4 linked regions of the Elephas maximus indicus genome follow. The main gene of each other region encodes a partner of the protein of the gene in region 2 in a complex. Links are inferred from orthologs where the notes say so. Each region holds a gene or a part of one and is shown on either strand. Other genes may lie near its edges.

Region 1 (7,095 bases), on a different chromosome or scaffold from region 2:
ATCCCAGCTCCTGTGAGCAGGGGGCTGGGCCCAGAGCCCAGCAGCCCTGACACCTGGCTCTAGTCCAGTGAAACTAATTTCAGACTTCTGACCTCCAGAGCTCTAAGTGAATAAATCTGTGGTGTCTGAAGCCACCAAGTCTGTGGTCATTTGTTACAGCAGTTCTACCAAACTGGTGAAATTCCCTTTGAACGGTTTAGAGAAGGTCAGCAAAACTGACAAGCTAGTTACAAAAAATCTTAAATCTGTTTATGCTAATTCCGGTCATGGTTAAATTGAGCTTTTGCTCAAGCCTGTTCACCAAAAAGGGTCGAAGAGCTTTCCAGGAAAATCTAAAGGCTTGTAGCAAAGGTTCTAGGATCAACATCTAAAGGTTCGTAGTAAAGGTTCTAGGGTCAACATCTAAAGGTTCGTAGTAAAGGTTCTAGGGTCAACATCTAAAGGTTCGTAGTAAAGGTTCTAGGGTCAACATCTAAAGGCTCGTAGTAAAGGTTCTAGGGTCAACATCTAAAGGTTCGTAGTAAAGGTTCTAGGGTCAACATCTATAGGCTTTAGTAAAGGTTCTAGGGTCATTATCTAAAGGCTTGTAGTAAAGATTCTAGGGTCAACATTTAAAGGCTCGTAGTAAAGGTTCTAGAGTCAACATCTAAAGGCTTGTAGTAAAGGTTCTAGGATCAACATCTAAAGGTTCGTAGTAAAGGTTCTAGGGTCAACATCTAAAGGCTTGTAGAAAAGGTTCTAGGGTCAACATTTAAAGGCTTATAGTAAAGATTCTAGGATCAACATCTAAAGGCTCGTAGTAAAGGTTCTAGGGTCAACATCTAAAGGCTTGTAGTAAAGGTTCTAGGGTCAACATCTAAAGGCTTGTAGTAAAGATTCTAGGGTCAACATTTAAAGGCTCGTAGTAAAGGTTCTAGAGTCAACATCTAAAAGCTTGTAGTAAAGGTTCTAGGATAAACATCTAAAGATTCATAGTAAAGGTTCTAGGGTCAACATCTAAAGGCTTGTAGAAAAGGTTCTAGGGTCAACATTTAAAGGCTTATACTAAAGATTCTAGGGTCAACATCTAAAGGCTCGTAGTAAAGGTTCTAGAGTCAACATCTAAAGGTTCGTAGTAAAGGTTCTAGGGTCAACATCTAAAGGCTTGTAGTAAAGGTTCTAGAGTCAACATCTAAAGGCTTGTAGTAAAGATTCTAGGGTCAACATTTAAAGGCTCGTAGTAAAGGTTCTAGAGTGAACATCTAAAGGCTTGTAGTAAAGGTTCTCGGATCAACATCTAAAGGTTCGTAGTAAAGGTTCTAGGGTCAACATCTATAGGCTTGTAGAAAAGGTTCTATGGTCAACATCTAAAGGCTCGTAGTAAAGGTTCTAGGGTCAACATCTAAAGGCTCGTAGTAAAGGTTCTAGAGTCAACATCTAAAGGTTTGTAGTAAAGGTTCTAGAGTCAACATCTAACCGTTTGTAGTAAAGGTTGTAGGGTTAACACCTAAAGATTTGTAGTAAAGGTTCTAGGGTCAACACCTAAAGGTTTGTAGTAAAGGTTGTAGGGTCAACATGTAAAGGCTTGTAGTAAAGATTCTAGAGTCAACAGCTAAAGGTCTGTACTAAAGGTTCTAGGGTCAACATCTAAAGGCTTGTAGAAAAGGTTCTAGGGTCAACATCTAAAGGCTTGTAGTAAATGTTCTAGGGTCAACATCTAAAGGTGTGTAGTAAAGGTTCCAGGGTCAACACCTGAAGGTTTGCAGTAAAGGTTCTAGGGTCAACATCTAAAGGTTTGCAGTAAAGGCTCTAGGGCCTTTTGACTGGTAAGCTAAGATTAGAAACTTTTGTGGAAAGTGCCCTAGAGCTCCCGTGTGCTGTGAACCACGCTGGCCTCAGGGCTCATCAGCCACCAGGCTTCCTAGGAGGTACTTAGGTCCGTACCTCACCCACAGTAAAGAGCTTTGCCAGGCACTGCTCTGGGCTCCCTGCCGTGGGGCAGTGGGGCCATCCCCGGGAAGGGGGCCCATCCTCGAGAAGGGGGCCGAACCCCCGGGACCGGGACGCCCTGGGCGGGTCTGGGAGGTAGGCCTCTGCCCCGCGCTCACCCCGCGGACCACTGCAGCACGTCCGCAGGCTGCGTGCGGATGGCGGCCTTGGTGAACTGCTTCAGGATGTCGGGCAGCTCCGGAGGGATGTGGATCTGCTGCGCGCAGAACATGGTGTCGGGAAGCGGCATCGCGTGGGCAGACGGGGCCAGGTGGGAGAACCAAGGTGGCTGCTGGCGGAGGGTGGGTTGTCAGCGCAGAGCACAGGGCATGGCCCAGGGGTCCATTCACCCCCAACCGCTGGTTTGGGGTCGGGCTGGGGTCGGCGTCCCCTTTCCCCGTGTTTGGGGTCGGGGTCCAGGGACAGAGCACGGGGTCAGTGTCCCCCATCCCCGGATTTGGGGTCGGGGTCCAGGGACGGAGCATGGAGTCAGTGTCCCCCCATCCCCGGCTTGGAGTAGGGGTCCAGGGACGGAACAGGGGGTCAGTGTACCCCATCCCCGGGTTTGGGGTCAGGGTCCAGGGACGGAGCACCGGGTCAGTGTCCCCCTATCCCCGGGTTTGGGGTCGGGGTCCAGGGACGGAGCACGGGGTCAGTGTACCCCATCCCCGGGTTTGGGGTCGGGGTCCAGGGACGGAGCACCGGGTCAGTGTACCCCATCCCCGGGTTGGGGTCAGGGTCCAGGTACGGAGCATGGGGTCAGTGTCCCCCATCCCCGGCTTGGGGTCGGGTTCCGGGGCTCGGGGACGGCTTTCCCCCTCCCTGTGTTTGGGGTCGAGGTCCGGGGACGGTGCTCGGGGTCAGCGTACCCCTTCCCCGTTTGGGGTTGGGGTCCCGGGACGAGATTGGGGACGACGAGAGATCTCACCGACTCCTCCTCCGGCTCCTCGGGGAATGTGGACCAACCACCTCTCGAGCGTCACCCCAAAGCCGGTTTAGAGCAGCGCACGCCGCCGCTATTGTTGCGCATCCGTATCCAGGCAACCAGGACGCGCGCGACCCCCCTAACCCCGACACCGCGCAGGCGCACATGTCCGAGGAGCTGAGACCGCGCATGCGCACGAGCCCGGCAGCGGAGGGGCGCGCACGTGCACTGTCACCGCGGGCCGGTAGGCGGCGGGTCAGGCGTGCGCCTGCGCAGTGCGGCCCAGAGCATGGCGCCCCACGCGGTCGGTGCTGCTGAGTCGTCGCCCACGGTGTCCTGTGAGCGCCACCTGCCTCGTGAGGCCGGCTCCGGCCGCCCCTAGGAACCCGCGCTCCAGGCCGCTCTGCTGGGTCCTCACCCCGCTCGGAGGATGGGGCCGCGGGGACCGCTCCAGGCGGTGACGCCCCCGACCTCCCGTGGTCCAGCCCGCCGAACGCGCGCGTATCGCCCCAATGTGGACACACATACATGCCCCAGGCGCGCACCCCCAGGCGCGCACACCGAACGCGCGCACACCCCAGGCGCGCACACCGAACACACTCACCCCCCCAGGCGCGCACACCGAACGCGCGCACACCCCCAGGCGCGCACACCGAACGCACGCACACACGGTCTCCCAGATCAGCAGCACTGACAAGTAGAGCAGTGAGCATCAGTGTTGATGAGACAGGGACGGCGCGGACTCACCCCGTGAACAGGGGGCCCTTGGGCCGTATTGGAGATGCAGCAGCCTTCCTCCTGGGAGTTTATCCTGAGCACACCTTGACCTGCGTGTACAAAGCTATGTGGGCAAGAGCGCCCGCGACAGCGCACAATAACGTGGTGTATTAACTGCCTTTCGGAACAAGTGATGGTGGCCCATCGAGCCCCACGACGGAACACAGCACAGCCAGAACTGAGATGGAGGCAGCTGTAGTGCCGACCTGGAGATGCCACGAAAACCGAAGTGGAAAGATACCCTGGAGAACCACCTGTGCATCAACCTGGGCCCTGTGGTACAACGACTTGCTTATGGGTACCACCGGTAACTGGTGCGTCTGGAGAATGTGGCTGGCTTCCAGGTTTTATTTTAACCATTTATAGATTATTTCGATTCTGAATCCATTTATTTCTCAGCAATACAAGATAGATAGCGTCCCCAACTCAAGGCGACCCTGTGTACAGTAGAATGAAAACATTGCCCAGTCCAGAGTCATTCTTAGGATCGCCGGCATGTTTATTCCATTATTGTGGCTGTTGGGCCAATCCATCTCAAGGGTCTCCCTCACCCTCGCTGGCCCTCGACTTCACCAAACATGACCTCCTCCTCCAGCGATTGATCCTTCCTGATGACGTGTCCAAAGCAAGCAAGTTAGTGTTCTGTTGTGATTCCTAAGGTTTTCGGTGGCAGATTTTTGGAAGTAGACTGTCAGGCCTTTCCTCCTAGTCTGTCTTAGTCTGGAAGCTCCTCTGAAACCTGCCCACCATGGGTGACCCTACTGGTATTTGGATTATTGGTGGCATAGCTTCCAGCATCACAGCAACACTCAAGCCCTCACAGTGCCACACACTGACAGACGATGTTGGCGGGGGTGGGGTGGCAGTAATACATACCGAGTGCCAAAATGTGCCAGGGACTGTTCTAGGTTCAGAGAACACAGGGATAACCCAAACAATGTAATACAAAAGAAAGAAGATCAACCTCTGGAGCTTACATTCAAGTGGGGAAAACATGCAAATAAACAAGATGGGTAAACCGCAGTGTGAGTAAGTGTTGAAAAGAAAAACAGCAGGGAGAGGAGACAGGAAGGCGCCAGAAACTGCAGTTCTAGGTGACCCTCCTGGGGTACACAAGTGAGGAGGCCTGAGGAGCCTTGGGGAAGGCAGGGCAAGCCTAAGCGCCCACGTCGCGAGGCCTGACCTGAACGCCAGGGGGTGCTGTGGTCACGGGGAGGCACCAGTGGCCTGGCCTGGCCATGAAGGCCATGTGGACAAGAGCTCTGACCCCAAGTGTGACAGCCCGAGTGTGACAGGGGCCATCGGAGGGCTGAGAAGAGTGTGACCTGACTGAGATTTTAACAGGGTCACTGTGGACTCTGTGGAATACGGAAGGAGGAGAGAGAGAGCAAGGCTCTCACAGGAGAAACTGTTACCGGGATAAGGTTCTTGCCTCTGACTGGTCAAGAATGAGTAGGTAAGGCACATAGTTTTCCACACAAGCAAAGCTTTGTTGAAGAGGCTTGCAAGCGGAGACGAGGAGGGCCTAGAGCAACGCATACCCTCAGCTCACAGAACAAAAGACGGGCCTGAGTTTTAGAAGTTCTTGGGTGGGAAAGGATTCATGTTTATTCATAGACACAGGTGGGGCTATGTTAACTAAGGTGCGCGGGCAGCAGCTTTCCCAGGTGGCTCCTGTCCTGGAGGCCTCTTGGATTCGTAGCAGGACTTATTATGGGGTGTCACATCTGTGCAGTCTCCCGCTGTCCGGGTTCCATCCCCTGGCTGGGGCTGTGTCCCCTCACTGCCCCTGGTGGAAGGCCACACAGCGGCCACAGGTGGATGTTCTGCGCATGTCCCTGGGCCTGGTTTTCTCCAACTGCTTCTGAAAGGCAACTTTAAAGAAGTTTGCGGGCTATTTCTAGATACCCTGCCCCATTTTCTGGGGAACGGCTTTGTTTCTGTGCCCTGGCCTATTTCTTGTTACTTTGCTTGCAGATTTGGGGGCCCCTCTGTTCCCTAAGCCTCTATATTCCACACTGAACCCCCTCTTACCTCCCTGATAGTGTAGTTTATTTCTCTTTTACTTGTTTCTCCTCTAACCACAGCAGTCTCTTCGCTGTTTCTCAAACAGGCACTCTCCGATCTCAGGGCCTTTGCTCCCTGTCTTAAAACGACAGTAACCCAGGCGGCCAGCATGGAGCTGGCGTCAGGCAGCCAGATGACAATTCTTTCTGAAGAGGAAAGACCTGCTCTTGATGACTCGGGGCATGGGAAAGAGAAGTGCCAGGGTGTTTCCAACATTTTGGATGTAGCAACTCCAATCCATCCACATGCTTACCACGCGTGATTGGAAGTTGGGGAGCCCCGGGTCTGGCGGCATCTGAGTGAGAAGTTTGGAAGCCCCAGGTTTGGGGGTGTTAGGACTGCATTTGGACCTGTCCCATCTGGGAAATCTGGGCATCTGAGGCTGCACGTGTACATCTTGGGTTGGGAGAAGGTGGGATTCGGGCGTGGCCGAGGCCGGGCGTGGCCGAGGCTGGGGGACAAGCAGGAGGGTCCAGATGGGCAGGACGATGGAGCAAGCAAGGTGTATGGGTGGCCAGGGGAGCATCTCGGGGAGCGGAGCAGCCGTGTCAGACAGGTCCCCCTACAGGGTTGGCAGGTCCACTGTGGCCTTTACAGGATGAGCCTGCGGAAGGGTGAGGCTGAGACTGGACCGGAGAGAACTGGAGAGGGAGGCTGGGAATGGCGGGTGGGAGGATGGCCATGGAGGCGTGTGCTGGGAAGGTGAGAGAGATGGAGCAGAAATGGAGGGAGATCAACCCTTTGTGTGCGGTGGCTGGACTTCTGGACTCTCTTCTGTTCCGTCCCCCGGTGGATCTGTGCAGCCCATGGGTACCCATCAGACTGAGCAAAGTGGGGGGGGGCGGGGGACAGGGCTCCTGGCTGGGTGATGAGATTCTTCCCCTGGGGGTGACAGGGCTCCCCCTCAAAGGTGACGGGGCTCCTGGCTGGGTGATGGGATTCCTTCCCCCCAGGGGTGACAGGGCTCCCCCCAAAGGTGATGGGGCTCCTGGCTGGATGATGGCATTCCTTCCCCCCGCCCCCGGGGTGACGGGGCTCCTTGCCTGGGATGATGGGGCTCCTGGCTGGGGGTGGGAAGCTGCTTGTTCCCAAGCCGAGTTACGGAACAAACAGAGAAGCAGAGAGGCAAGGGCACCGTTAAACACGTACAGAAGTCTCAAAAGGTGATTAAACAACGTAGTGATACAAAAAGGGACCTCCCTCCAACCAGGCTCCTGGCGGGCTTCACCAGGAGGTTTTGTGGGGGAGGGCTGAGGGGAGCAGGGGGCAGGAGGCAGGAAGGCAGTGTGGTGGGCAGCCTGTGCCCAAGACTTGGCGGCTTTTTCTATCTACATGTGCTGATGCGTTTCTGAAACGAA
Region 2 (6,997 bases):
ACAAGTCATAATATTTGACCTATTTTTAAGGGTCAGACCATGGTTCAGATCTGGCTGTGCTGTCTACTTTAGTAGCCCCCCTGAGCTTTGATGTTCCCTGGTGTAAATCAGGGATGATAACCCTGACCTCATAGGCTGTGATGGCCGTGGAGGTGCAATGTTCAGATTTCCTTGAAGAGAACCTGGTGTGGGGAGTGTAGTTGAATGACAGCCCAGCTATAGCCACTCTGGGCATCTGTGCCACGGCTCCACTTTACTTAAGCTGCTCCTGATCAATGTCTAAACATGGTGGGAATATTAGGGCAGGACAAGGGACTCCTCCAAAAGGCAACCTTTGCTTGAGGACTCCCTGCAAGCCTAGCTGAGATTTTCCCAGAACCACACTGCAGCAATTTCCTGCCCAATCTTCCTTCCCTATCTCTTTTCATAGGTGTCAGACCTACACTACGGTCTGAAGCACTCCCTGCATACTCTGCTCCCTCCCCCTTACCCTTCACAGGTGTTTCCCCCAGTTCAGTTCTTGTACATCTAATCCTATCGTGGTGTCTGCTCCTCGGAGGACCTGAACCGGCACTCAGACTTCTTGGGAGGATTAGATTAAATAAGGTATACAAGGGCCTGGTACAAAGAGGCACTCGGTGAATGTTAGGTCCTTTTGCCTTGTCTTCCAGTCCTGTGCTCTTTCGTTTTTCACTTCTGTATCTGGCCACTCCCACCACTCGGTGCAGCAATGCCTACAGCATCTGAGATCTGTATCATCAGTGTCCCAGGAGAAAAGAGACAGCATGGATTTGGTAATTTGGGTAATACTGGGCCATTCACCAATGTGTGGCCAAGGTGGAAGGAAGCCACAAATGATAGTACCCTGAGCTGTAACACTGAGGCACCCCTACTGCTTCTGAGCCTATAGGTGTGAGGGGAGGGAGTGTTACTGAAACCCAGGAAAGAACAGGCGCCTTCGGGGGAGCTGTGACCGTCAGTTAAGGGACACAGCCAACCCAAAGATAACCCATAGGAAGGGAGCTTGGAATAAATTCCTCAGCCCCACTCTCCTCCTTCCTCCAGTCTCCTGCTCTGAGCTCTCCTTTAGCAGGATGCATCAGGAAGCCAGACATCTAGGACATCTATTGACAGAAGCAGACTGCCACATCTTTCTCCCACGGAGTAGCTGGTGGGTTCAAACCACTGACCTTTCAGTTAGCAACCGAGCAATTAACCACTGCACCATCAGGGCTCCTCTGTAAAAATTACAGCCTAGAAAACCCTATGCGGCGGTTCTACTCTGTCATATAGGGTCTCTATAAGTTGGAACCAACTAAACAGCACACAACAACTCTCCAGTGATCAAGCCCTGCTTATCTCTCTGCAGGACAGCTGCCCTCCCTTCTGGTGACCTTTCCCTAGATGGGTCCCAGGGCCAATAAAATGCCCTGAACAGTGGGTGACATCACATGCTGTCCTGAACTGTTCTCTAATTGTGTTACACGTTTCTCAATTTTCTTCAACCACATTGTAGACTCTTCATTTTCCTCACTTAGACCCCCTACAGGACCTGGCTCAGGGCTGAGCCCACAGTAGGCAATTATAGTAGGCATGGTATCTCAATACTGGCTCTGCTATCTGTTAGGTGTGTGGCCTTGGGACAATAATGGCACCTACCTCTCTGGGTTGTTGTGAGGATTTAAAAGAAATAATGATGGAGTGCTCAGAACAGCACCTGCACATTCAATAAATGTAGCTATGAGTCAGAATCCACTCAATGGCAACAGGTTAATCTTTACCGAAGCAGACTGCCACATCCTTCTCTTGCAGAGTTGCTGGTGGGTTCAAACGGCTGACCTTTCAGTTAGCCGTGGAGCACTTAACCACTGCACCACCAGGGCTCCCGCAGTGTAAATACCCCAGAATTTTGGAGCCCTGGTAAAAAAAGAGCTCAGCTGCTAACCAAAAGGTCTGCAGTTCGAATCCAACAGCCGCTCCTTGAAAACCATATGGGGCAGTTCTCCTCTGTCATATAGGGTTGCTTTGAGTTAGAATCCACTCGATGACAGTGGGTTTTATCACTACCCAAACTCCATTGATTGAGATATCCCAGATCCCTCCCTTTTTCATTATCTTCCAATGACTCATTTGATTGCCAAGTCCATTCCCCCTCGTCTCTTCACCCTACTGTCCTACATTAAGCCTCACCTGTTGTCTTGATTACCAGGACAGCCTCCCAAGGGGTCTTTCTCCCTCTGATATAAGCTTCCACAGCACCCTGCACTTCCCCTTTCCTAACATTCATCACAGTTGTGGTGACTTACACAACAGCTGTATTTACCAATACAATTAAGCTGCATGAGGTAAAGGACATCTGTCTGGTTCACGATTGGTGATCAATAAATGTGTGTTAAGAAAAACAAATTTTCAGAAAAATTTGCTGACTCCTGTCCTAGACTTTCTTAGGAATGGACCACAAAGTCCCCAAGACTTGATGGACATATTAAGAGATGCAGTTTATTCAGTGCCCCAAACCCATAGAATGGCCAGAATGAGATTTATCACACACCCATCTGTCCAGTTCACTGCTTGTTTCAAATCGTTTGGTTCTCCAGAATATTCAGGATAAAGTTCAAATGTCTCCTTTGTCCTCATTTCATTGCCAGGAAAACTGAGGTACCCAGGAGAGAAGCCAGGGCATAGAGGGTAAATGATGGCTTGAGAGCAGGTTGAGGAGCTGAGGTGTCCAAATTTCCAACCTGGACCCTGGCCCAGCCCAAAGCCAGTATATAGATGTGCAAGAAGCAAAAGAAGGAACGAAGTTTAACTTGCCTGCCCTGAGCTAGGCAGGAAGGCTCTGTAGGGAAGAGATGAGGGCAGGGCCTGCACGGGCACATCCCAAAGCCTGGCTGCCACCCCAACTTACGCCTTCTTGATCTGGGCATCTTCTGCATTTCGAGTGATTTGGAGCACAGAGTAATAATCTTGGCCCATGGCTGACTGGCCGGCAGGCAGTAGACGGATGGTCCCTCAGACTCCAGCAGGGCTGTTAGTCTGCATTCCTTGGTTGCTCCTGACAACCACACTGGGGCACTCTGGGAGTTGTAGTCCTTCCTAGGCAACCCACTTTCTCTGCTCTGCCTCTTAGAAGAGCGAATGAATCATTTGGGAGAACTGGGGCTGACGCTGTAGTCCTGATAAAGGTCATCCAACTCAGAAACCAGGGAATCACAGAACCCTGTTTTATTTTCTTTGTTTTTAAGGAGAGCAGCAATTAGTTTTAATTGAAAGTTTTTGGAACAAATGCATTTGGCTGATTTTTTTAAGTAATTTTTTAATTTTAGAATTGTTTTAGATTTATAGAAAAGTTGCAAAGATAGCACAGAGAGTTCTCATATACCCTACACCCAGTTTCCCTACTATTAACATCTCATATTAGTATGGTAACTTTGTCACAATTAATGAACGAATATTAATATATTATTGTTAACTAATATTTTATTCAGATTTCTTTCCTTTTTCTGTTCCAAAATCCCATCCAGGATACCACATTACATTTACTGGTTATGTCTCCTTAGATCGTCTTGCTGGTGACAGTTTCTCAGATGTTCCTTGTTTTTGATAACTTTTAACCATGTGAGGAGTGCTGGTCAGGTACTTCGTAGAATGCCTCTCAACTGGGATTTGTTTGACGTTTTTCTCATGATTAGACTGCAGTTATGGGTTGTTGGGAGGAAGACCACGGAAGTAAAGAGTCATTCTCTTCATATAAAATCAAGGGTACATACTATCAACATGAATTACCACACTTTTTATTTTGGCATTTGATAACTTTTAGTGGTTGCCATGGATTGAATTGCGTCCCCCCAAAATATCTGTCAATTTGGCTAGATCATGATTCCCAGTATTGTATGATTGTCTACCATTTTGTCATCTGATGTGATTTCCCTGTGTGTTGTAAATCCTATCACTATGATGTAACAAAATGAATTAGTGGCAGTTATAGTGATGAGATCTTCAAGATTAGTGTTTTAATCTAAACTCTTTTGAGATATAAAAGACAGAAGCAAGCAGAGAGACATGGGAGACCTCATACCACCGAGAAAGCAGTGCCGAAAGCAGAGCTCGTCCTGCACTGCAGAACCTGAGGTTCCTGCACTGAGTTGCTCCCAGACCAAGGGAAGACTGATGACAACGACCTTCCTCCAGAGCCAACAGAGAGAGAAAGCCTTCCCCTGAATTCAGACTTCTAGCCTACTGGACTGTGAGAGAATAAACCGTTAACGCCATGCGCTAGTGGTATTTCTGTTACAGCAGCACTAGATAACCAAGACAATGGTGTAGACTGTTACACCACACAATAAATAGAGCATTCTAAATAGCAAATGAGGGAAAACAGCACCTCATTAAACTCAATATGAGAAGGACGCTTTAAAAATTTTTTCTTATTGTACTTTAAATGAAGGTTTACAAAACAAACTAGCTTCTCATTAAACAATTAGTACACATATTGTTTGGTGACATTAGTTACCAACACCAGGACATGTCAACACTCTCCCCTTCTTGACCTCGGGTTCCCTATTACCAGCTTCCTGTGCCCTCCTGCCTTGTCGTCCTTGCCCCTGGGCTAGTGTGCCCATTTAGTCTTGTTTTGTTTTATGAGACTGCCTAATCTTTGACTGAAAGGTGAACCTCAGCAGTGACTTCATTACTGAGTTAAAAATGTGTCTGGGGGCCATACTCTCAGGGTTTCTTCAGTCTCTGTCAGAAGAAAGAATGAATCTGTTTTTTTTCATGAGTTAGATTTTTGTTCTACATTTTTCTCCAGCTCTATCTGGGACCCTCTAATGTAATCCTTGTCAGAGCAGTTGGTGGTGGCAGCCAGGCACTATCTAGTTGTGCTGGACTCAGTCCGGTGGAGGATGTAGTACTTGTGGTCCATTAGTCATTCGGACTAATCTTTCCCTTGTCTTTGGTTTTCTTCATTCTCCCTTGCTCCAGACAGGGTGAGACCAGTGGAGTAATTTAGATAGCTGCTCACAAGCTTTTAAGACCCCAGATGCTACTCATCAAAGTAGAATGTAGAACATTTTCTTTATAAACTATGTTATGCCAACTGAGCTAGGTGTTCCCCGAGACCATGGCCCCACATCCCTTAACCCAGTAATTCAGTCCCTCAGGGTGTTAGATTTGTCTATGGAGCTTCCATGACCTTGCCTTGAACAAGTTGTTCTGCCTTCCCCAGTATCATGTACTGTCTTCCCCTTCACCAAAGTTACCACTTATCTATTGTCTATTTGTGTTTTTCTATCCCTACCCCTCCCCACCCTCGTGACCATCAAAGGTTGTTTATTTTTGTGTATAAATCTTTTCATGAGTTTTTATAGTAGTGTTCTCATACAATATTTGTCCTTTTGTGATTGACTTATTTCACTCAGCATAATGTCCTCCAGATTCATGCATGTTGTGAGATGCTTCACAGATTCATCATTGTTCTTTATCATTGTGTAGTATTCCATTGCATGTATGTAGTACCATAGTTTATCCATTCATCTATTGATGGGTACCTAGGTTGTTTCTTTTTGCCATTGTGAACAATGCTGCAGTGAACATGGGTGTGCATATGTCTATTCAGCTCTTATTTCTCTAGGATATAGTCCTAGGAGTGGGATTCCTGGATTATATGGTATTTCCGTTTCTACCTTTTTAAGGAAGTGCCATATCGTTTTCCAGAATGGTTGTACCATTTTCCATTCCCACCAGCAGTGCATAAGAGTTCTACTCTCCCTGCAGCCTCCACATCATTTGTTATTTTCTGTTTTTTTGATTCCTGCCAGTAATGTTGGGGTGATATGTTATCTCATTGTTGTTTTGATTTGCATTTCTCTAATGGCTAGTGTTCTTGAGCATTTCATCCTGTGTCTGTTAGCCACTTGAATGTCTTCTTTGGTGAAGTGTCTGTTTGTTTCCTTTGCCCATATTTTATTTGGATTATTTGTCTTTTTGCTGTAGAAGCATTGGATTTTCCTGTAGATTTTAGAGAGTGGACCTTTGTTGGATTTGCCATAGCCAAAATTTTTTTCCCACTCTGTAGGTTCTCTTTCTACTGTTTTGGTAAGTCTTTTGATGAGCATAAGTGTTTAATTTTTAGAAGAGCCCAGTTATCTAGCTTATCTTCTGGAGTTCTGTGCTGTTAGCTATGGTTTGTATCCTGTTAATGCCGTGTATTAGGGCCTCTAGCATTGATCCTATCCTATTTTTTTCTTCTATGATCTTTATAGTTTTTGGTTTACATTTAGGTCTTTGATCGATTTTGAATTAGTTTTTGTGTATGGTGTGAGGTATGGGTCCTGTTTCACTTTTTTGCAGATGGACATCCAGTTTTGCTAGCACCATTTGTTGGAAAACTGTCTTTTCCCCATTTGATGGACTTGGGGTGCTTGTCAAAGATCAGGTGACTGTAGGTGGATGGATTTACATCTGGGTTCTCAATTCTGTTCCATTGGTCAATGTATCTGTCATTGTACCAGTACCAGGCTGTTTTGACTACCTTAGCTGTATAGTGGGTTCTGAGGTCAGATAGTGCAAGTCCTCCTACTTTCCTCTTCTTTGTGGTACTTTACTTATCTGGGACCTCTTCCCTCTCCATGTAAAGTTAGTGATTAGTTTTCCGTCTCTTTAAAGAATGCCGTTGGTATTTGGAAAGGGATTGCATTGTATTTGTAGACTGCTTTGTGTAGAATTGACATTTTCACAATGTTGAGTCTACCTATTCATGAACATGGTATGTTTTTCCATTTGTGTAGTTCTCTTTTGGTTTCTTGCAGTAGTGATTTGTACTTTTCTTTGTATAGATCTTTCACATCCCTCGTTAGATTTATTCCTAAGTTTGTTTTTTTTAGGGGCTATTTTTTTTTTTTTTAATTATAAATAGTATTGTTTTCTTGATTTCTTTTTTGCCATTCTCTTTACTGGTGTATAGGAATCCAACAGATTTTTGTATGTTTATATCATG
Region 3 (7,224 bases), on a different chromosome or scaffold from region 2:
GTGCACAATTCAATCCCTGACATGATCTATAGGGTTTTCATTGGCTGATTTTCAGGAGTAGATTGCCAGGTCTTTCTTACTAGTCTGTTTTAGTCTGGAAGCTCCACTGAAATCTATTCAGTATCATAGCAATGCGTAGGCTCCCAGTGCACATGAGGTACACTGACAAGAAATTGAACCTGGGTCTCCTGCACGGAAGGGGAGAATTTTACTACTGAACCACCAATAACAAGGTTCAAAAAACCAAAACAGTATAAAAAGATATGTACTGAAAAATCTCATTCTAATCCACCCTGTTTCTCTCTCACCTCAATAGGCAACCTTTTTTTAAATTTATTTCTCAGTACTTCATTTTGCAAATACTGGCAAACAAGAATGTTACACTTCCTCTTTCACAAAAGGTTGCCACACACAGTTCTGCACCTTGCTTTTTTCCATAACAGCACACACACAGGTTCTTTATTCTTTTTACACTGAGTTGCACAGTACTCAATTTGGTGGATTCACCAGGGTTTGTTTAACCAATCTCCTACTGCTGGATTGTGTTCAATCTTTCACTAGTAAATAAAACAAAAAAATTGAACCAGCTGCTGTTGAATCAATTTCAATTCATGGCAACCCCATGCGTGTCAGAGTAGGACTATACTAAATAAATAACACTGCAAAAAATAACCTGTATGCATGCCATTTCATGTTAACACAAGAGTTTCTATAGGAGGGATTCCCAAGAGTAGGACTACTGAGTCAAAGAGTAAATGCATCTGTAATCTTGGTAGATAATTGCCAAATTCCCTTCAAGAGGGGTTGTGCCATTTAGAGTTTAGCCAAATGGTATCTCAGTATAGTTTTAATTCACTTTTTCCTACTAAGAGGTTGGGCATCTTTTTACACATTTAAGAAACCCTGGTGGCACAATGGTTAAGCACTCGGCTACTGACCAAAAGGTTGGTGGTTCAAACCCACCCAGCAGCTCTGATGAAAAGACCTGGCAATCTGCTCCCATAAAGATCAGAGCTTAGAAAACCCTATGGGGCAGCTCTACGTTGTCACATGGGGTCGCTATGAGTCGATTATCAACTCGGCGGCACCTACAACAAAAACCATTTGTTTTTCTTTTTTCTGTGACCATCCATGTGCTCTATGCATCTTTCTACTGTTAATCTTTTCTAGGAACACATTATACATTATGGAGATCGGTACTTCATGATACGAGTTGCAAATCTTTTTTCCAAGTTTGTCATTTTGTGTTTTGACCTTGCGTATGGGGTTTATTTGGCCATGCAGAAGTTTTCAAATTTTATGTAGTCTTACCAAGCTTTTCTCTTATGGCTCCTAAACTTTAAGTCATAGGAAAAAAGGCTATCCCACTGCAAAGATAAGAAGAAATTCATCCCTCTTTTCTTCTAAACCTTATACGGTTTAAGTTTTAAATATTTAAATCTCAGATCCATTTGGAGTCTATCCAAGTATATAATATTTGAATTCTACTTTTAAAAAAATGGCTACCCAGTTTTCCTAACACTGTTTATTAAAAAGTTCTATTAATTATATTACATATTTCCTTACTGTTTCCTGTACTGTTTCCTTACTTTTTTCTTACACCACCCCTACTTTTGGCCTCTATACCTATTCTTTGAAGCTCAACTGAAATCCTATATATTTCCTGAAAACTGAAGTTTTCTCTTTTTTAAAACACTGACTAAACAGGGAACATAACACTGTATAAATGTAAGAGAATAAAAAACTGGAAATTCAAGAAAGGATGGAACAAAAAGGAAGATTAAAAATATTCAATTCTATTTGATAATCTTCAGCAATACTCTTTTTATATTCATTTCCAAGTCTCTAAAATGACAGTGTTTACCAACTGCAGAACAAATACAAGGCTTTAAAACCTTAAATGTTTGTAATGAAAAATACTAACTGAAGAAATACCAACAACCTAAGAGACCATCAACAGAGAACTTTTAAAAGTAAATAAATTACGGTTCATCCATACAGAGGAATATTACACAGAAGTTGTAAATAGGACGAATGAGATAGATTCAGATATATATCCGGAGTGCTAAGGGACTTTGTTAAGGGGGTCAAGGGAAAGAAACTATTCCCTTTTAAGAGGGAAAAATATTTGTAAATGCATAGATAATCCCTGGAAGAACAGAAAGTGTTAACAGTGGTTGCCTCTGGAGACTGGGACTTGGGGTTGGAGGGAAAGAAAACCGACTTTTATTTCTCATTTTATATCCTTCTGAACCATGAAAAAAAAGCTTTTTACAACTATCACGTGCTACTTTTATAACTACAAAAATTAATGCTAAGCACTAAGGATCTAAATGGATTAGTGTTATTTACATAAAAAAAAGGATAAAAAAGAGCCAAAAGCACGATCACCCTGCCCAGAAGTTACCTGAACAATGGTGAATCCAGATCTAAGAATAATGTCTTGTATCTCCTCCTCTTTGTCAACAATATCTGGTTTGATAATGGCCAGAGTTTTTTCTACATATATCTGAGGTGGGGGCATTGATATCTCCATCTTGGCTTTTCAGAGTAATTTAATAGTTTCTTGACAGGTATCAACTGCAATGACAGTACCCCACCCACCCCAAAATTAATGTAATTGTGATTAAGAATAGCAATATCAGGTGCTTGATTTTCGTTTATAAAGTCCGAAATGGCCATATATTTTTCTATAAGCATTGTTCCAGTGATATTTCTATTCTGCGTCCAGGTCATGCCTTGGGTTTTTGTAAGGCATTCACCGAGAGAAGGACCGAGGGGCTGCCCGAAGGCCTGGGACTGTGGCAGACGCGCGGGGCGGAGGCCAGGGGCGGGAGCGGGAGCAGGGGCATGGAAGGGTGGGCAGCCTCTACTGGCTGGCTGCCTGAAAGAAGCAATTCCTCCCCACAGGGAGGACTGCTTATTTAGAGCCAGGACTGACTGAAAAGCAGGGTCCTCAGGACCCCTCTGGGCTGCACCCACCGGAGGCACTCACCACAGCACCGCACCCAACTCAGTGACCACAAGTTGTTGCTAGGAGACCAGAAGCCCCAGCTCCCGGATGGTGGCTGCAGAGGGCCAATTCTAGCAGTTCTTCCACGCTTGCCTGGTTTCTTTTAACCAAGAAAGGGAACTAGCCCCAGACGTTTTTGTAGGTCTAGCCCTCTGACTTGAGGCTGTAGAAGAAGGACCTCCCGTTCCTGAAGGCTTTCCACTGCTGCCTGCCTTCCTGTACTACTTCACTTCACAACTTATTAGTGCTGGACCTACTGAGGCTCAGGGCTTTCCAAACCAGTAGGCACAATGTCAGTCCTTCAGGGCCTTGAATCACCCCTAAACACAAACTCTGGGAACACAAGGTCATCTCAGTATCATCCTTATTTTCAAAGACTCAGAAATCAGATTCCAGAGGCTATACTCCTTTTTTCCTGCAGTTCTCCACATACAGTACTTGAATCTGTTCCAAGAGCACTACACTTTTTGGGTTTTTTTTTTTTTTTTTTGCTGTTGTTTTTACATTTTCTTCATAATTATCTTATTTCTTCTTCCTACTTATTTGAGGGATGCTTCAATTATTCTAACTTTACAAATGAGGAAGAGCGCTGGTGGTGCAGTGGTTATGAGCTCGGCAGTTAACTGCCACAAGAGAAAGATGTGGCAGTCTGCTCCCGTAAAGATTATAGCCTTGGAAACCCCATGGGATAGTTCTACTCTGTCCTACAGAGTCACTATGAGTCGGAATCAACTCAACAGGTTGGTTTGTTTGTTTTTTGGTTTTACAAATGAGAAGACAAATCAAAGATCTCCCCCAACCCCACCCCACCCCGTTCCAGACAGTATATGTAAGAAAACCCCTATCAAGTATCTTCTTCATTTCACAGACTGTGCTATCCTCTTTATCCTGGTTTCTTTAATCATTAAAATAGTCTGAGGTTTGTGAAATAACATTTATTTATAGATCAGCAATAACAGGCTTAATCTAGTTACCTCTAAATTAAGCTTGTAGAACAAAGTTGTAGGCAACAATTGTGGCATAAACCCAAATTTCAGCTTTCCTCTTTTCTTTATAGTATGTTCACAGGCATCTTTGACTCCTTGGTAATGAGTTAAAGGTCTTAATTTTATTAGAAAAGAAAATGGAGAAGTGGTAAACAACTACTGAAATCTTCTCTGGATCAGAGTCTTAAGAAGAGGTCCAAACTCCAGAAGAGATCAGGGTAGCAGCTCCAGGTTAACAAAATAGGTTTCCCATCATCCACCAGGTTGGTTGGTTGTCATTCCAGACTACTTAGATCTCTTCTTTTATCTAACCAAATACTCAGCACCTACAGGGTCAAGGCACAGAGAGCAAGCTATGAATCTTAAAAGCTACAGAGATTTAAATGCAATTTATTTCTTCTTCTGCATATAAATTTGACTGTACTTCTTTCTTTAAAGTATGATGCTGCCCAGAAAGAAATTCTCAAATGTCCTCATCTGGCTACTATGTCTTATCTGCTAAAGATGGGACAGTGTGAAAGTACATTAATATCAACAGATGTAGTAATCCAAAAATGGCCAGTGACTCTAGCCGCTGGTTTACACATCTACGCCTCTGACTTGAGGCTCTAGATGCAGGATCTCCCATTACTTATCTATCCCCAGCTCTCCTGAGAGCTCTTCGCTGCTGCCTGCCTTTCTGGACTACTTCACTTGCTAATTTATTAGAGCTCGGGGTGTTCCAAGTCAGTATGCACAATGTCAATCCTTCCTTCAGGGCCCTGATTTATCCCTAAAGATAAATAAACTCTGGGAACACCAGGTCATCTCAGTATCAACCTTATTCTCAAAGACTTTCTGAAATTAGATTCCAGAGGCTATATTCCTTTTTCCTGCAGTTCTCTAAATATAGTACCTGAATCTGTTCCAAGACTTCTCGCTGCATCTCCACAGCCATGTGGTACACATGATGGTCAGAGTCATTGTACATCACAGCATTTTGGAACATCAGCATCAGATCCCGCTGAAACTGGGCCATGGTGCGAATCTGTCCCTTAGACAGATTTCTCTTCAAGCTAGTTAAGTCCATGGGTCTGCAGGTGGCCAAGAGAAACCAGGGGAAATCAAACATTCATGTGGAATATGTGGAACCTAACATGTTCTCTTGGAGAACTAACCAGCTCTTAATGAATAATAGTAAAAATAACAAACCCACCAGATAATAAAATAACAACAGCAGCTAATATTTGACTGCTTTCAAGAGACCAAGCATTATGCTAGGCGCTTTATATATTAACTCAATCTTCTCAATAAACTTATAAGGTAAGTATTATCCCCACTTGACAGATGAAACTGAGATCTAAAGAGGTTAAGTACTTGTCCAAAGTCACATAGCCTGGATTCCAGTTCAAAGGCAGCCTGACTCCAGAACCCACAAGCCCAGGCGTTTCACTCAACTATCATAGCAGAATGGAGCCCTGGCGGTGCACGTGGCTGCTAACCAGAAGCTTGGTGGTTCAAACCCATCTCGTGGCTCTGCAGAAGAGAAGCCCTGGCAATCTGCTGCCATAAAGATTATAGCCAAGGAAACCCTATGAGGCAGTTCTTCTCTGTTATGTATGGTCGCTGTGAGTCAGAATCAATGGCACACAACAACAACAGCATCACAGCAGGAAAGCTAGCCCTAGGTACCAAAGCTGTAAAGAATCCGATGGTCAGTTTGTCACATACTAGTTACTGACTGACTGTTTACAATGTACAATCTTATACTAGGTAATTAATCTACTTTTATTATTGTATAAATCAAAGCTAATTTTTTTTTCTCCTTTCATGGGAGTAAAAAGAATGAGAATCAGGTAAATAAGATAAATTATTATTCAATGAGGCAGAGATAGTGGGTATGTAAGAGAAGGCACAACAGTGTAGAAAGAGGACTAAACTGGGAGGTAAGAATTTGGGGTTTAGTTCTAGCTCTGCTATTAACTATAAGTCAGGACCACCTCTAAGCCTTAGTTTCCTTACATTTAATATGAAGTGTTTTTTTCCAAAGGTCCCTTTCTGATCTTCTATACTCTATTAATAAACACACTGGTTTACAACAGTGCTTTAAATATACTATGCTATCAAAATTCAAAATACTGCAAACAACCAGTGTTAGTAACATCCCTTTGGATTACCGTATCTGCCTTAGAATACTTATATAACTGCCTGGTCATACAGCTTTCCTTTTCAAGTTCTGCTCCAAAAGAACACTATCAAAATCTACCAAAGGCTAATGGTGAGATTATAATAAATGGATCATATTACTTAAAAATATGGGGGAAAAAAAACTCCAAAAAACAAAAATTAGAGTATCCTTTTGTTCCCTTCATTCCTTCTCAAATGAAAAGACCAAGCTAACCATAACTTTACGTTTTTAGCTGAAGTAAAGAAATTATCTAATAGATGAGAAATGAAGAATGAAAAGACACTATCCAAGGCACAACAATTGGTCTCTATTCACCTGGAAAAACACAGAAAGAAGGAAAGTCAGGAGTAGGAGGAAGAAACGGAATGTGCAGCTAACTGCCTCCATGCACAACTGCCTCCTTTGCCATGAGACCAGAAGAACTGGATGGTGCCTGGCTACCATTACTGAACGTTTTGATCTAATATCCTATAGAAGAATCCTGATCAAAATGCAGAACAGAATTTCAAATTCTCATGGAATCCATACTTTCTGGAGCCATTGAGGCTAGATGAACTCCTGAAACTATCGCCCGGAGATAATAGTTAAACCTTAAACCAAAAATATCCCCTGAAGTCTTCTTAAAACCAAATGATAGTTTAGCTTAACTAGTAAAGAATGTCTGCCTTGAACCTTATGCTCTTTTGAGATCTATCTATATGGGTTCAAACTGATAACAGCAACTTGAAAGATCAGATAGGAACCTTAGACGGCAGTGCGTTTATGTTACTGGGGGAGGAACAACTCAGAAAAGGAGAGTGAGAATGATTGCACAGCTTGAAGACTATAATCACTGTCACTGAATTATACATGCAGAAACTTGAACTGGTGTATGTTTTTGCTGTGTATATTCTCAACAGCAGTGACAACAAAATAACTTAAAAAAAAAAAAGGAATTAAAAGACAGATATAAAAGCAACCAACCTTTCTTGACCCCTTTTCCACTGACCTTTTCACCACATCTTTGTATCCTGGGGCCTGCCTATCTGACACAGGCTTCAGAAATGGACTGCTGAACC
Region 4 (7,847 bases), on a different chromosome or scaffold from region 2:
ACTCACCATAAGATTCTTTGAGTCATTCCAGCAAATTAACAAATCCACAGGGGCAGTGAGAACCAGCAGGGGCTGGCATCCGCCTATATGAAGGACAGTGTCTAAATTGTGGGGTCTAATCTAGCTTTGGGTGGATAGGTATATGAGAAGGCTGCTGGTCTGAAGGACGGTGTCCATTTGACTTGAGCTCTGACCTACCCCTGGGTGGGTAGGGTTGAAGAGAGCGTGTGCCACTTGGGTGGCTGGCATGCAATGAGGATGGGGAAGTGGGAAGGTGAGGACTAGATCCATTTCCACAATTTGGGGGTTGGATTCATGCTGATCCTTACCATGCAGTTAGCAGAGAAGGTGGAATTTGCTCACTTTGACCCTTGCTTACTGCAGTACGCAACTCTTGATTCCAGAGCCCTCACTCTGACTGAACTAAGATGCTGATTCCAAGCCATGAGAGCCATTTTTATAAAACATCACAATATTCCACCTCTTAAAAAAAAAATTCCATGACTCTCCATGGCCAGTCCTCAAATAACAGCTTAATAGACTCCTGACCATCTGGCCCCAATTCTCCTTTCAGGCGCCTCCAGATCTCTCTGCTGCCCCGACATGTCCTGAACACCCTGCATCTCTGCTGGTCATGCCCTTTTATGGAATTTAGACTCCTCGAAAAAGCTGATGAAATGTGTTCATTATTCAACAAATATATACTGAATGCCTATCAACAATATGGTCCCTGGGTGGCACAAATGGTTTGCACTCAGCTACTAATCAAAAGGTTGGCAGTTCAAACCCACCCAGTGGCACCACAGAAGAAAGGCCTGGTGATCTGCTTCCATAAACACTACAGCCAAGAAAACCCTATGGAGCAATTCTACTCTGCACCACATAGGGTTATCATGGGTCAGAATCAACTTGACAGCAATGGCTTTTTTGTGTGTGTTTGTATTCAACAAATACAAACTGAGGCACCTTGACAGATGCTGGGAATACAAAACACAGTCTCTGCCCTCATGGAGCTTACAGGTGAGTAGGGAAGACAAACATTAATCAAATATTAACATCAATAAATGAATGTAAAATTGAAATTGTCATGAGTACTATGCAAACCAGATAACAGGAGGATTTGACCCAGTTGGAAAAGTCAAGGAGAGCTTTCCTGAGGGGTGATGTTCAAACTAAGATTTGAAGGAACAGTAAAAGTCATCCCAGCAAGGAGAAGCAACAGCCTTCCAGGTATGGGAAAAGGCGCTGGTATAGGAGTGAGCATGCGGTCAACACAGCAAAGAGAAGGCAGAGCCTTCCAGGTAAGAGAAAAGGCGTGGTATAGGAGTTAGTGTACAGGCATGGGGACAGAGTGCCAGGCTGTCCACATCCTGCTCCTAGTCCAATGCACCTGACATTTTATATTAAGATCTCAGAAACACTGACATCCTGAGATCTATGCATAGACCCCCAATACTGCTCTTCTCTCATGCAATGCTGATGGGAGTGCAAAATGGTATGGGGGGAATTTGGCAGACTCTACACATGTCTTCTCTGCGACCCCACAATCTCACTCTGGGATCCTAGCTCAAAGATCCTAGCTCAAAGATACACCTGTAAAAATACGAAACGACATATGCACGAGGTTATTTTGCACCACTGCTTAGAATAGCCAAAGACTGGGAAACTACTCAATTATTCATCAACAGGAGATCGATGATACACAGCAACACCATCAATTACTATGCAGATGTAAAAGAATGAGGAAGACCTCTAAAACAGGGAGGGACATTCAGGACATTAACAAAGCAAGGTGCAGCAAGTATATATAGCATGCCATCCTTTGTATTAGCAACAGCAGTGAGAAAGGAATGCCGTGTGTGTAAAAATTAAAAACTCTACAGACCAAAAGCAAACTGGTACAAATGAACCTAACTCCCCATCAGGTTGGCACTGGTGTCCTAACCACACAGGGAAAAGATTACAGCTGACTTTGGAACACAGTATCTTCACTGTACTTCTCTAAAAACAGAAGAAACTACAAAGATATCTCAACTTCATTTGAAGTGGAGTAACATAAAAGAGGGAAGGGCCTCCTGCCGCTGCTCCTCAAAAATAAAACACGCGGGAAGGGGGCAGGGTCCCTAATGCGGGAGATTAAGAGTAGGAACGGGTCCACGGTGTGCTGCAGCCCATCATCAGTGGGACTTGGGCGGGGCTCGTCACCTCACTTGGCATCTGTTCCCTGTCCACGAAATGGTGATAGTACCCATTTCACAGAGTTGTTGAAAGGAATGCTATTTTTCATATACACCAATAGGCAGCATCTTGGATCAAAAGAAGAAAGCCCCTTCCCACAGAAACAGCCGCCTCAAATCTGGAGAAGGTGCCACAAGAGACAGACTGAGATGCCTCGCCCAAACCAGGGAGACAGATCCAGGTAGGGCTGCCAGATTAAGCAAATAAAAATACAGGACACCCAGTGAAATTTGAATGTCAGCTAAACAGCGAATAATTTTGTATTACACTATATCCATTTCCGTCCAGTCGAATTCCGACTCATAGCTACCCTATAGCACAGAGTAGAGCTGCCCCACAGGGTTTCCAAAGAGTGGCTGGTGCATTCCAACTGTCGACCTTTTGGTTAGCAGCCGAGCTCTTAATCACTGCGCCACCAGGGTACTGAAATGTTTTTCGTTGTCTATCTGAAGTTCAAATTTAATTGGGCGTCCGGTGTTTTATCTGGCAAATCCCTACACAAGGCGCGCTCCCCGAGGACGAGGGAGGAAGAGGAGGAGGAGGAAGAGCAGCTGGCAAACGGGACCCCAGGTGCGGAGCTAACCCTCACATGGCCTTTGGGCGCCCCCTTAGCCCTAGGCTCCTAGCAACGTCTGTCAGAACCGCCTCTGCCCGCTGCGACCCAAGGAAAGTGGGACGAACCTTTCTCGGACCACTGCGCCTGCGTTCTCGATGCGCACGCCGCACGCACGCGCCGAACTCCTGCCGGCTATCCGCGTCCCGTCGCTAGGCAGCAAACTCGCGCACCCCAGAAGCCAAAGGGAGCGCGCCACAGAGAGGAGAAGCGCGCGGGTGGGTGAGCCCAGGAGCGCGCGAAAGGGCGAGGAGCACGACATAAAGAGGAGGCGGTGCGCACGCGAGCGCGCGCGGGGTGGAGGGATGCGGCATAGACACTGTGAGGAGCGTCGGAGGAGCAGAGGAAGTGAGCTGAGGGATTCTGGGAGAGGAAGGGTTGGTGGGCTCCGGGAGAAGCAGGGAGGGGCGCCTGCTTAGGGTAAGTGCTTTCTCCAGGTAGTCAACTCCACGGCAACTGGTTTGATTTTATGTACTAGTCACCATGTATTATCTCTTTTGATCCTCTCAATTTTTGAGGTACATTTGTTATTTCTCTTTTACAGATGAGGAAGCGGGAGCTCAGATAAACTGACTTGCTGAAGATCACAGGAGAACCAGGACTGGAACTTGGTCTGGTTCCACAGTCTACGTTCATACTGCCACCGTATACTGCCTCGTAAACGTATGGTGTTACAGGTCTTTGAACCTATTGGTTGGGACGGAACCCCTGCTGAGAGTTTGCATTCTTTACAAGTTCCCAGGTGATGCTAAAGCTGCTGGTTAGGGGCCAGTTCTAAGAGCCACTAGTAGAGCTGTGGTTCTCAAAGCTTATTATACATAAGAATCACCAGGGGATCTTGTTAAAATGTGGATTCTGAATCGTATACCTGGGGCCTGAACGAACTGGTTGGAAGCCAGTATGACCCAGGCTACATTACCTCCAGCTCTCGAAATCTGATTAAAAGTAAATCAAAGGGCAAGTAAATCAAAAGTAAATAAAGTAGTTTTCTGCTTAAGTAGTAGAAAGTGGAGTATAGTATTAGGTGTGGCAGCGCCCTTGACCAGCAGTAGCTGCAGGGCCTGTTAGTTTGCCTCCTCCTGCCCTAGGCTTCTTGTGAAATAAATAAGCCTTTGTATCTGTGGGTTTTATCTGTGTCATAGGAGCCCTGGTGGTGCAGTGGTTAAAGCACTCAGCTGCAAACTTAAAGGTCAGTGGCTCAAGCCCACCAGCTTCTCTGCAGGAAAAAGATATGACAGTCTACTTCCATAAAGATTTACACTCTTGGAAACCCTATGGGGCAGTTCTACTCAGCCCCGTAGGGTTACTGTGAGTCAGAATTGACTCAAGGGCAGTGGGTTCGGGTTTGGATCTAGGTCATAGGTGACTGTGGGTTCCAGTGTCACAAAACCACGGCTCCCTAACCCAAGGGTGTAAGTGTGTAAGTGGAGGCCTGTAGCCATCCCTAACCATCAATGTATTTCCTCTGAGGCCTGATGACCCCCTAGAACCTTTTGTTTGCTGGAGAGCATTAGGAAAAAGCTCACTTGAAGATAAGAGCTACTGGCAAGTCTCCTTTGTTGGCTCTTCTGGGGCAGGGTGGAATCCAGAAACATCTCATATTTATCCTGAAATGAATCATGAGTTGGTTAGAATGTGTCCATTTCTTAAACCAACAGTGGGACTCTGCTTGGATTTTTTCCCAGGCCCCACAGAATGGAAACGGGGTACCTGAAGAGATGCTTTGGAAATTGCCTGGCCCAGGCACTGGCAGAGGTGGCAAAGGTTCGGCCCAGTGACCCAATAGAGTACTTGGCTCACTGGCTTTATCATTATCGGAAAACCACAAAGGCAAAAGAAGAGGTATGTATGTGCACTGGCTCTCCTTTGGGGGGCTTCCAGCTTTCTCTAGAGTAATTCTGGAGCTTGCCTGGGGAGTTTCTTGGCTTGGGCCCAGAAGTGTGGATAGTCTGGGGGCTGCAGAGAGAATCCAACCCAAGGATGCTGTGGAGTTGATGGATTTAGAGCTACTAGGAGAATAAAGCTAGTTATAGGAGCGAGCTGGGCAGGCATGAAGGGCTGAGGTCTGTCAGCAAGGAGGGCGGGCTCTTTTGTACTTGCCACCTGGGTACTGAACTGATTCAGCTCTGTCACATCACCTAGAGCATGCAAGAGAAGACCCAGCTGAAAGAGGAGTATGACAAGAGTCTTCAGGAAACAGAAATGGCAGAAATGGTGAAACAAGGAGAGTATCAAATTCAACAGAAAGATGAAAAGGATCACAAGGTAGGAAGGAGGAAATGAGCACTGGGCACAGACATCACACAAATGGAGACCAGGACGTCAACAAGTAGCCTGCCGCAGTCCAGTGCACGTGAGCCTCCCAGTAGCCCGCCTTTTGCTCTGTAGTTACATACTTACCTGTAAATCAATCTTACAATCCCTGTCTATGAAAAAGAAATCTTAAAGGGCAGTTCCATTTTAGGTTCCAGGAAATACCATTGATGTTATTAGTTTAAAAAATTAGATTTTTAAGAAATCTAATAACTTCACCTGGAAAAATATAGCTTCATACAAGATGCTTTGCCTTCTTTTAAAAATTTGTTTAATATTTTTCAGAAACCAAATATGGTTATCAGTGTATAGTTCAGATATTTTATTTCATGCAAGCTATTTATATATGTATTTTGTTCATTGTGTGCTACTTACTTTTGCACGTACTTACTTTTGCACCAAGCCACAGATGCCTCCTCTATGAAGCTGTAATGTTGAAATAATTGGAAATAATTGTGGACTAGCATATCTTTTATTTTCCACAGTTTTATGGCACAATCTCCTGAACAGTGTCTTGGGTCATTTTATGCATTCTACAAAGTACACCTGAATAGGGAATTGACTTAATTGCAATTTTGGACTTGATACCTGAGATCATTTTAACTATCACTATGTCCTATGAACTGAAATCTTTAATGCAGTCTGTACAATTCACTAGCTTTTGCATAAGCAATGCTAGTTGTATAACCCAGTGCCCATTGCTGTCGAATCTGTTCTGACTCATAGCGACCCTATAGGACAGAGTAGAACTGCCCCACAGAGTTTCCAAGGAGCACTTGGTGGATTCAAACTGCTGACCTTTTGGTTAGGATTTCCAAACCCAACTTTTTTTAAGATGTGAAAACGTTACAAGCTTATGTACATTTATACTAATATGCTCAACTTTCCTAATAACAGTTAAGATTTATTTTTGAAGTCTGGATGTTTTATAAATATATTAAATCAAAAGAAAGATGGTTTCACGCCATTATTTGACATAGTCCAAGGGACCTCTCCCTCTGGGATGATACAGTCTTTGAACAATAATTGGAGGATGGGAGAGATGAGGTCATTTAATAGAAGTTGCCCTCACCTTGCCACCCACTCTAGCCCTTTTCTAACACATGCTTCACTGTTAACAGAAATATATGTAAGGCAGAGAGAGACCCCAAAATGAAATGCCACCCTTGTTTTATGGTGCCTTTACTAAAGAATACTTTGCTCGTGCCAATATTTTGAATTGTCCCCTTGTATTTTTTATTACACTCAGGAGGTTTAAACCCTGTAGCAATATTCCTTAATAATATTTGGATGAGTAAAAGGCATGTCATTCCTTTGCCAGGTGTGAGACAAAAGTAATTGTAAGGAAAAATGGGAAATGAGAGCTAGCACGATGCCTGGACCAAGTGCAAGTTCTCGGTGTTAGGAAAGAGTTTATATGCAAGTTGTAGTTATGGAAATTGATTCCCTTTGTTAGAAAAAAATAAAGAGAATCAAACAGTAATCGAAAACAACAGTGAATTTGCTTACCTGGCAAGGGAGAGCCATGACATTCAGGTGCAAGTTACTCTCCAAGTAAAAGATGAAAAGGCTAGATGAAGGCAAACAGGTGGTCGTTATGTTGTTGTTAGCTGCAGGTCAGAACTGAGTTGGGTCTGACTCATAGCTACCTTATGTACAACAGAAGGAAACATTGCCCAGTCCTTTGCCATCCTCACAATTGTTGCTATGTTTGAGCCCATTGTTGCAGCCACTGTGTCAATCCATCTCATTGAGGGTCTTCCTCTTTTTCATTGACCCTCTACTTTACAAAGCATGATGTCCTTCCCCAATGACTGATCTCTGCCGATAACATGTCCAGAGTACGTGAAACAAAGTCTTGCTGTCCTGTCCTCGCTTCTTAGGAACATTCTGGCTATACTTCCTCCAAGACAGATTTGTTCGTTCTTCTTGTAGTCCATGGTATATTCAGTATTCTTCCCCACCACTGTAATTCAAAGGCATCAATTCTTCTTGGTCTTCCTTATTCGTTGTCGAGCTTTCAAATGCATATGAGGTAATTAAAAATACCATGGCTTGGGTCAGGCACACCTTAGTCTTCAAAGTGACTTCTTTGCTTTTTAACACTTTAAAGAGGTCTTTTGCAGCAGTTTTGCCCAGTGCAATACGTCATTCTTCAGACAGTGTCCTGCTGCTGTTCACAAGGTTTTCAACGGCCAGTTTTTTAGAAGTAAATCACCAGTCCTTCTTGCTAGTCTTTCTTAGTCTGGAAGCTCCACTGAAACCTGTCCACCATGGGTGACCCTACTGATATTTGAAATACTGATGGCATAGCTTCCAGCATCACAGCAACACACAAGCCACCACAGTAAGATAAACTGACAGACGAGTGGTAGAAAGAGGTGAAGGTACATCAAATAAGATGAAATTCTAAATTTTGATTTCTGATTGGCTCATGAAGTGGATTGAAAACGTTTCCTTGCTATTGGTCACCTTCAGATTTGGTGTCACTAGTGCTGGGAAACCTGGGAACCTAGCGTGGGTTACATAAGATTTCAGCATGCCTGCTGTTTTAGCTGGCATAGTGGTTAAGAGTTTGGCTGCTAACCAAAATGTTGGCAGTTCTAATCCTCCAGCCACTCCTTGGAAACCCTATGGGGCAGTTCTACTCTGTCATGTAGGATCACTATGAGTCAGAATCGAC

Evidence for each region.
Region 1: DNAJB13 (region 2) and ROPN1L share a complex: the UniProt entries of both Homo sapiens proteins name them as parts of the axonemal radial spoke complex. The link is inferred for Elephas maximus indicus from reciprocal best matches to the Homo sapiens genes DNAJB13 and ROPN1L.
Region 3: the proteins of DNAJB13 (region 2) and NME5 are in contact, whole or in part, in a cryo-EM structure (PDB 8WZB), measured with the Mus musculus proteins. The link is inferred for Elephas maximus indicus from reciprocal best matches to the Homo sapiens genes DNAJB13 and NME5. Residues at the interface, in NP_705755.2 of Mus musculus: Thr156, Lys157, Lys158, Thr181, Ile182, Asp183, Arg185, Trp188, Arg189, Gly191, Thr192, Arg193, Ile194, Thr195, Phe196, Glu197, Pro281; in NP_542368.2 of Mus musculus: Glu52, His53, Asn56, Met193, Lys199, Pro200, Lys201, Leu202, Cys203, His204, Phe205.
Region 4: DNAJB13 (region 2) and DYDC1 share a complex: the UniProt entries of both Homo sapiens proteins name them as parts of the axonemal radial spoke complex. The link is inferred for Elephas maximus indicus from reciprocal best matches to the Homo sapiens genes DNAJB13 and DYDC1.

What each region holds. Positions count from the first base shown.
Region 1 is NC_064820.1:1,264,252-1,271,346, forward strand, and holds the start of ROPN1L (ropporin-1-like protein), read right to left. Parts: upstream 3,003-7,095; 5' UTR 2,897-3,002; intron 2,261-2,896; exon of another isoform or gene 2,258-2,260; 5' UTR 2,219-2,257; coding exon 2,088-2,218; intron 1-2,087. UniProt on the Homo sapiens protein: Functions as part of axonemal radial spoke complexes that play an important part in the motility of sperm and cilia. Important for male fertility.
Region 2 is NC_064825.1:48,558,191-48,565,187, forward strand, and holds the start of DNAJB13 (dnaJ homolog subfamily B member 13), read right to left. Parts: upstream 3,007-6,997; 5' UTR 2,977-3,006; coding exon 2,909-2,976; intron 1-2,908. UniProt on the Homo sapiens protein: Functions as part of axonemal radial spoke complexes that play an important part in the motility of sperm and cilia.
Region 3 is NC_064820.1:151,200,757-151,207,980, forward strand, and holds the start of NME5 (nucleoside diphosphate kinase homolog 5), read right to left. Parts: upstream 3,020-7,224; 5' UTR 2,996-3,019; intron 2,951-2,995; exon of another isoform or gene 2,581-2,950; 5' UTR 2,537-2,580; coding exon 2,408-2,536; intron 1-2,407. Other genes in the region: bromodomain-containing protein 8-like, read right to left, coding at 4,275-4,325, 4,895-5,072, 7,155-7,223. UniProt on the Homo sapiens protein: Functions as part of axonemal radial spoke complexes that play an important part in the motility of sperm and cilia. Does not seem to have nucleoside diphosphate kinase (NDPK) activity.
Region 4 is NC_064826.1:131,929,887-131,937,733, reverse strand, and holds the start of DYDC1 (DPY30 domain-containing protein 1), read right to left. Parts: upstream 3,006-7,847; 5' UTR 2,920-3,005; intron 1-2,919. Other genes in the region: DYDC2 (DPY30 domain-containing protein 2), read left to right, coding at 3,517-3,593, 4,537-4,693, 4,994-5,116. UniProt on the Homo sapiens protein: Functions as part of axonemal radial spoke complexes that play an important part in the motility of sperm and cilia. Plays a crucial role during acrosome biogenesis.